Ovis aries: one gene and its partner. The protein of the gene in region 2 purifies or fractionates together with the protein of the main gene of each other region. This does not show direct contact. Links are inferred from orthologs where the notes say so. Each region holds a gene or a part of one and is shown on either strand. Other genes may lie near its edges.

The links. The genes of interacting proteins can lie anywhere in the genome.
Region 1: the proteins of VGLL4 (region 2) and TEAD4 purify together in Homo sapiens (co-immunoprecipitation; 5 studies listed by BioGRID and IntAct, counting the BioPlex papers as one, with this or other methods). This does not show direct contact. The link is inferred for Ovis aries from reciprocal best matches to the Homo sapiens genes VGLL4 and TEAD4.

Annotation. Positions count from the first base shown.
Region 1 is NC_056056.1:212,613,650-212,617,296, forward strand, and holds part of TEAD4 (transcriptional enhancer factor TEF-3), read right to left. Parts: intron 3,345-3,647; coding exon 3,192-3,344; intron 2,382-3,191; coding exon 2,268-2,381; 3' UTR 1-2,267. UniProt on the Homo sapiens protein: Transcription factor which plays a key role in the Hippo signaling pathway, a pathway involved in organ size control and tumor suppression by restricting proliferation and promoting apoptosis.
Region 2 is NC_056072.1:55,592,680-55,596,426, reverse strand, and holds the start of VGLL4 (transcription cofactor vestigial-like protein 4), read left to right. Parts: upstream 1-1,448; 5' UTR 1,449-3,747. UniProt on the Homo sapiens protein: May act as a specific coactivator for the mammalian TEFs.

The DNA.
Region 1 (3,647 bases), on a different chromosome or scaffold from region 2:
AGAGGCGCCTAGACCTATGTTCCCGGTGGTGGAACGGTCTGGACTTTCCAGCTCTAAGTAGGTGACTGTCCATTAGGCTGCTGAGACCAGGCCCTAAAGAGAAGGGAACACTCGAAGCCAGCTCTGGCCCCAACATCTACATGGACTCCCTAGACCCAGGACACAAAACGATGGACGCAGTTTGTGCATCTGTCCCAGGGCCCAAGGCTACTCATACACCAGTGTTTGTCCGAAGGTTCAGTCCTGTGCGGGCACAGAGGTCACGGGCTCCCTTTATCCTGACAGCTCCGGGAACACGGGTGGGGAGGTGGGAGGGCAAAGGCCATGACAGTGACCAGGGGTGGGCAGGAAAGCCTCCCCAGACCCAAACCACACAAAGACGGTAGACAATTCTCAGAGACTCAGGGACCCCTCGCACCCAGGCCCCAGCACCCAGGAGGGAGATACGACTTGGCCCGGGGTCTAGCAGCTGTCCAGAAGGAAGCTGGAGGGCTGGTCCTCCTGCCCTGTCCAGAGCTGCCAGCAGACTGCCCCTTCAGGCTGTTCATCTAGGCAATGCCTCTCTTTCAAGAAGCAGCCCCTCTCAATTTCCGCCTCTTCCCTGAACCTTCCAAGCCCCACCCCCTCCCACCTCTGAATTCCAGTTGCTCTGAGGACCACCCCACCCCCACTTAAGAGTCTCCCAAGCTGACTCCTCAGACTGCAAGAGTCAGTGCTATTAATAATAATGCATACTCACAGCACGCGCTCGTGTGCTTGGCACCACGCTAGGCACTCTACATATACGAGGTAGGTACTATTGTTATACCCATTGTACAGATGGGGAAACTGAGGCACAGTGAAATTAGGTAACTTCCCCAAGGCCACACAGTCCAAAGCTGAGCACCAGGATTCCAATCCTAGCCACTGACTCTGGAGCCCTGGCTCCTAACCACACAACACCTCCTCAACACCATCTTATTCACTTCATATCCCCACACATGTCCCTGAGATCAGCACACAAAACTCCTGCACGTGACTCTTAGTCTCCTTGGGTTCCAGGCTCCGGGAAGTGTGGGTCCCTATTAGGCAAGATGATAGCAAACAGCCACTAGATGGCAGCAAAGAGCCGGTTCCCAGTATCCCAAGGGCCAGGAGGGGTAAGAGGACGGTAACTTTTTCTCTCTTTAGTGCACCTTGCGTCAGGCACTATACAGACATGTCCTCCTCACTAAGGCCGTCCCCCTCTACAGGCAGGAAAGGACACACGCTGAGACAGGGCAGGCAGCGGGGAGCCCTAGGACTGAGGCCAGTTGCCAGGAGGAACAGACCAGGGAAATTCCCTCAGCTGAGGGGTCCCCCCAGGCCCAGGGTGGGCTCCACTCCCCTCTCCTCCATCCCCAGGGTGCATAGAACCTTCCGTCCGGGGAGGGGGTGGTCAGCGCGGCTGCCTCGAGGTGGTCACCACCCAGCAGGCTTCTTGGCTGGGAGGCGTTTGCTGTGAGATGGCAAGGCATACCAACTGCATGGTCTCAAAGACCACCAGAACAGCGCGGACCTCAGACCAACGTTCCTGGCCTTCACCACCGAAGAGGACACCGAGGAACCCCAGAGCCCCCACCCACACTCAGAAGCTGGCCCCAGCACTCCTACCCTCTCTGTCTTGGGCCCCCCCTGACCTGGAACCCACCCCCCAGACAGCTGGCAGGGCCAGAGAGTTCACGCCCACTGGAGCTAAAGAGCTCTGATTGCCCCTGTCTAACCTCCACACCTGAAACCCACCCCCGAGCTGGGCCGGCCTCCCCGTCGGCTGTTCAGAGGGAGCGGCAGCAGAGGCGGTGGGGAAAGTGAGGCAGACACATCACTCCCGGTGGCCGAGGTGCCCGCACAGGACACACAGGTGGGGGACCCGTGCCTGTCCCCAGGCCTCCCACTGTGGCCGGAGCCGGGGGCAAGGCCTCCAGGGCAGCTCGGGGACATGCCATCTTGAGCGTCGGCAGCTGGCAACCGTCCTGGCCGAGTCCACGGAGCCCTGGCTTCACAGCCACGCCCGGGGTGGCATCCGGCCCCTTTTCCCTCAGCCCTCCCGGGGCTCGCGCAGCCAGACGGGGCCTCTGAAGACGCACAGAGCTGGGGTTTATTGGGCTTGGGCAATTGCAGGTTCAGGCAGAATTTGCTCCTGGGTAGAAGAGTCACCACCTCAACTCTCGGTGCTTCGGGGGCTGCCCCATGGGGCCCCTCCCCTCGTCCCTGCACACGTGATGTCACCCCCTCCCTGTCCCTGGTCTCTACTCCTTCACCAGCCGGTAGATGTGGTGCTGAGCCCCGTGCTCGCTCGCTGACACCTCGAAGACGTACGCGACGCACAGCAGGGTCTCCTGGGTGTCTCTGTTGGTGACCACCTGTGGGGTGTGGGAGACAGTGTGCTGTCCGCTCCGCCCACCACCCACCCCCCCACACACACACACCTACCTTCCCACACCTGCACACAGCACACACCTGTCCCCCCACACCTGCACACACCACACACCTGTCGCCACACACCTGCACACACCACACACCTGTCACCCCACACCTGCACACACCACACACCTGTCCCTACACACACATCTGCCTTCCCACACCTGCACATACCACACACCTGTCCCCACACACACACCTGCCTTCCCACACCTGCACACACCACACACCTGTCCCCCCACACACACCCGTGCCTTCCCACATTGGCACACACGCACACACCTGTCCCCCCACACCTGCATATACCACCCACCTTCCCCCCACACCTGCCTTCACACCTGCACACACACACACATCGCACACCTGTCCCCACACACACACACCTGCCTTCCCACACCTGCACACACACACATCTGTTTCCCCACACTTGTCTTCACACCTGTCCCCCCCAGACACCTGCCTTTCCACCTGCTCCCACACACACACCTGTTCCCCCACACCTGCACACACCACCCACCTTCCCCTCACACCTGCCTTCACACCTGCACACTCCACCCACCTCCCCCCCACACCTGACTTCACACCAGCACACACCACCCACCTTCCCCCCACACCTGCCTTCCCACACCTGCACACTCACCTGTCCCCCCCACACACATCTGCCTTCCCACATCTGCACACATGCACGCCTGTCCCCCACACACACACCTGCCTTCCCACATCTGCACACACGCACGCCTGTCCCCCCACACCTGCAGGATGGTGAAGTTCTCCAGCACACTGTTCATCATGTGCTTCTCGGGCAGGTGCCTCAGCTTGTGGATGAAGTTGACCATGTACTCGCAGAGCGGGGAGCGGTGGATGCGGTAGGAGTAGTGGCCGTTCTCGTAGCGCGCGCACTCGGTCTGCAGGGCCGGGGACGCGCGGCTTAGGAGGCCGCCGCCCACCGCCAGCCCGGCGGTTCCCAGACACCACCCGCAGGTGGGAGAGGTCTGGGGTTAAACACTGTGGGGGACTCAGTGCCAGGGTGTTGGCCCCCCAAGACCTGATGTACAGCCGGTGAGAACCACCAGGATGGGGGTGCCTGGCCTCCCACCACTCCCCGGCTCGTGCTGGGCGTGAGGCAGGCTGTCAGTGGTAAGGACGAGGTGAGGGTGAGACTGCCCTAATTCAGACAAATCTAGGGGAAGAGGCGAGAAGCCCAAGCT
Region 2 (3,747 bases):
CAGATCCAGGCTTAGCACCTCTGCATGTACACAAGGGCATAAAACCAGTCTTACCAGGGCTTGTTTCTGACCGTATCTGTTTGATCTCTGCGTATCTGAATGTTTATTCCGTGACAGTTTATACTGTGTGGTCTCTGTGTATAGACTGAGCTCTCACTGGAGCTGAGCTGCAGTCTTGTTCAGCAAGGGCACTTTTATCTCACAAAATAGCCCCCCCTTTTATTTTTTAATAAACTCATATATCATCCTCCTCCACCCCCCCCAAAAAAACTTCACCCACTTTATTTTAAAAGCAGAGTTTGAAAATTTCATTTTCTGCTTTGCTCTCTTCCTCTCTGCCTTCCTGAATGTTACATGTTCTCCTAAGTTTTAAGGGGTTGTTTCCATCAGTTTGCTTTCTGATCCTGTCTTTTTTTTTTTCTTTTCCTTCTTTCTTTCTTTCCTAGAATTCTGTAGATTGTTTTAGTTTCAGGGTATTGTGTACAGGATATGTTTTAATCCTAACCATGTGAATCACTACCCGTTGAAAGAATGTTTATTTACGCTAAATAAAATAGAAAATCTCTTCTTAAAGTTGTCTTTAATTTGTGGCTATTTATATGATCTTTCCGAACTCTTAACATTTCACCCCCATCTGTTTGCAAAGACGTCTGTAAACATAACAAACAAGTATATTTAGTGAGTGAGTCGAGAAGACTCAGTGCTGTGCCTTGTCACCCAGCATCCATTTCTCATAAGCATGTATGGAATGTTGCTGCTCTGCTGAGGAGCGTGTTAGGCCTCTGGGTTGATCTTTCTGCATGTGTGTCTGGCTGGCTGTCTCTGTGCCCCTCTGTATTGCTCTCTGTCTCTGCATTTCTCCGTCTCTTAACACTTTTCATTATGAAACATATATACACCTGAAAGTGCATAAAACACGTGTGTTGTTTATAATTAAAAATATAACCAACCTTGTCATGATCACCAGGAGAAGAAACAGTCAGTCGCTTCCTCCAAGCTCTCTCCCAGGCACAGTTTCTCCCGACCTCAAGAGGTCATCACAGCTGCAACTGGCTTTACTTGATACTTTTAATTACCTATGTGCGCCATTCCAAACAGACTAGCTTAATTTTGTCTGTTTTTGTTTTTACTGGAATTTTTCTCCTGTGTCTTATGTATGAGGTCCTCTAAAGTAGTGGCCACGTCCTAAGAGGTTTTCTTCTCCCTGTGAATACAGCCTGCTCCCCGGGCGGGCGAGGGGTGCCTCACATTGGAATACCCACGGAGGTGCCCTCCGCCCTCCTCACTGCCCTGTTTCTCCGCTGTTAATAGACCTGGTGACGCTTTGGCCTGAACTGGTTTTTTTTTTTTTTTCCCCAGCCAGTATTTTGGTCACAGTCTTTACCACCTGTTAAAACCCTCCACCATCCGTGTGTCATGGAAAACTGCATGTCAGAAAAATTCTGCCCAGTTTCAGAGAGCGCAGAGCAGGGAGGGACACTTCTGGAGGTACGTAGCTTAATTAGGACCCGAACAGAAACTTCGGTCCTGCGTTAATTAATAAGCAATTTGCTTAAAGGGCTGAGACATGTCACAAGTCAGCTTTGTCACAGTGCCAGGTTTCTTGGGATGGTGATCCAGGGACTTTCAGATAAACAGCGAAAAGCTTACATTGTTCCAGCGCTCAGACAATGCTCGACATTGTATAGACAGGGCTGCCAGCGAGCAACCAAGGGCTGAAACAGTCGTGGGTCGGCCTTATGCACCGTCTGAAATGGTGAATGGAGAAGGGTCACCCATATGGATCGCTGTTGGTGTTCGGTTTGTGTCTGCTTTGCATGAAAATCGTTGCCTGTTAATTCTTCTCGGCTAATGATTTGATTTTAATAGAGCGAATTCCAGAATTTAATGGCCCGATGCAGAAGTGTGCTGCCAAGCGCTGGAGCGGTGTTTACACTGCCCCCGCTCCAGCTGGAGTCAGCCCGCCGCCGCTCCCCTGAGAGCAGCTGATGAGCGCCCATCTCTGGACGTTCGCCTCCTCCCCTCTTTGGAATCAAGCACATCTCCCCTTAGGTGGCAGGCTGATTAAAGTGACAGGGGACTAACCTGAACTTTCATCTCATCGTCCGCAGCTTTCTCCTGTACCCCTTTCCTCTCCCTTTCTTACAGTGTGTGTCCTTTTAAGCTGTTGCTTTTCCGATGAGCCACTGATAAAACCGATTGGCTGACCCCGCAGAGAACCCTTGTTTTATTTCCCTGATGAAAAGCACTGACCTCTTTGCCAGTGCTTACAGTCACCCAGGAGAGTGACTCGGGCAGCTTCTTAAAGGAATATGTAACAGCTGTGCCAGGCTTGACCTTCTGTTGAGCGGAAGGTAAGAGGGACGGAAAACAGCAATTCTTCTCCATCTAAAACCTATGTGAGGTTTCCGAGCCCCACCCTGCAGAACTCCCAACTGGGAACAGTTACAACCAGGTACCGGAGATGATGGTGGAACCCTTTTTCTGTTAGAGGCTTTATATCAATAAAGAGGGGGAGAAAGGAAGAGGGGAAAAGGAGCGGAGTGAAATAGAATCCCAGGATTAGCCGAAGACACCAAGTATAACTCCTGGTGTCCAGTATTAAATATAACACATCACTCATATATATGTGTGTGTATGTATAAAACATGAGTGAAAGTCACTCAGTCGTGTCCAGCTCTTTTTGAGACCCCATCGACTACAGCTCACCAGGCTCCTCTGTCCATTGGATTCTCCAGGCAAGAATACTGAAGTAGGTAGCCATTCTCTTCTCCAGGGGATCTTCCCCACCTAGGGATCGAACCCAGGACTTTCGCATTGCAGGCAGATTCTTTACCGCTGAGCCACCAGAGAAGGCTATGTAAAACACCATATAAATACATAAAATCCACACACACACACTCACATGTGCATGGTGTACATGGTTTTATATTGTGTCTAACAGAGAATGGGAGAGAGCTTTCCTGTAGAGGTGGAGGAATCCTTAGATACCGTTTAAGGAGAAAGTAGAGGGACCAACACCAACTCCTTGGCTTTCCCACCCGAAGGCTCCTCGGGATCCAACTGCAGCCCTCTGTTCCTGCTCACAAGTCCCCACCTTCTGGCCTCAGGGACGTCTCAGTGATGGGTGTCTTTCCTGGGTCCCCTTCCTTTCTTCCTCTCCTGGGTCCTGCTCTTCGTCATCTGCTCACACTCAGGCCTCTCCCAACTTTAAAACGAGAAGCCCAAACCCGCCCCTCCGCCTTGTGTTCTCTTCCTCACTGTTAGACCTCCTTGCCGTCCACGTCGCGGGGGGAAGAAGGTCGGTGTCCTGTCCATCCGCTGCTCAGCCCGCTGGCATCTGATTTCTGTTCCCGCCACTCTGCTGAAGCCCTGCTGGGCACGGGCGCACAGCGCCGCCCTGCTGGCGTGTCCTGTGGACAGCTTTTAGTCCTTAGTTTGAGTCTGTGTCTGCGGTGCTGACTCCTTCCATAACCTTTACAGTTTTTCATCCCTTGGCTCAAAGACGTACCTCGTCCCCACTCCATCAGGAATGGGGCGCTGCGCGAGGCATCAGCAGGGCTTGTGTGCTCCTGGGCGTGGGTAGGAGGGTGGATGAGAGGAGGCGGGCTGAGAAAGGTTTGCGTGTAGCTTGAGGACGAATTGGGAGGAAACAGGAGAAACAGGAGAGGGCGTGAACCTGCGGTGCTCAGGGCAAGGGGTGGTGGTAACCTGAGTCACTGCAGGGATGGAGGAGCGGGCGGTGGG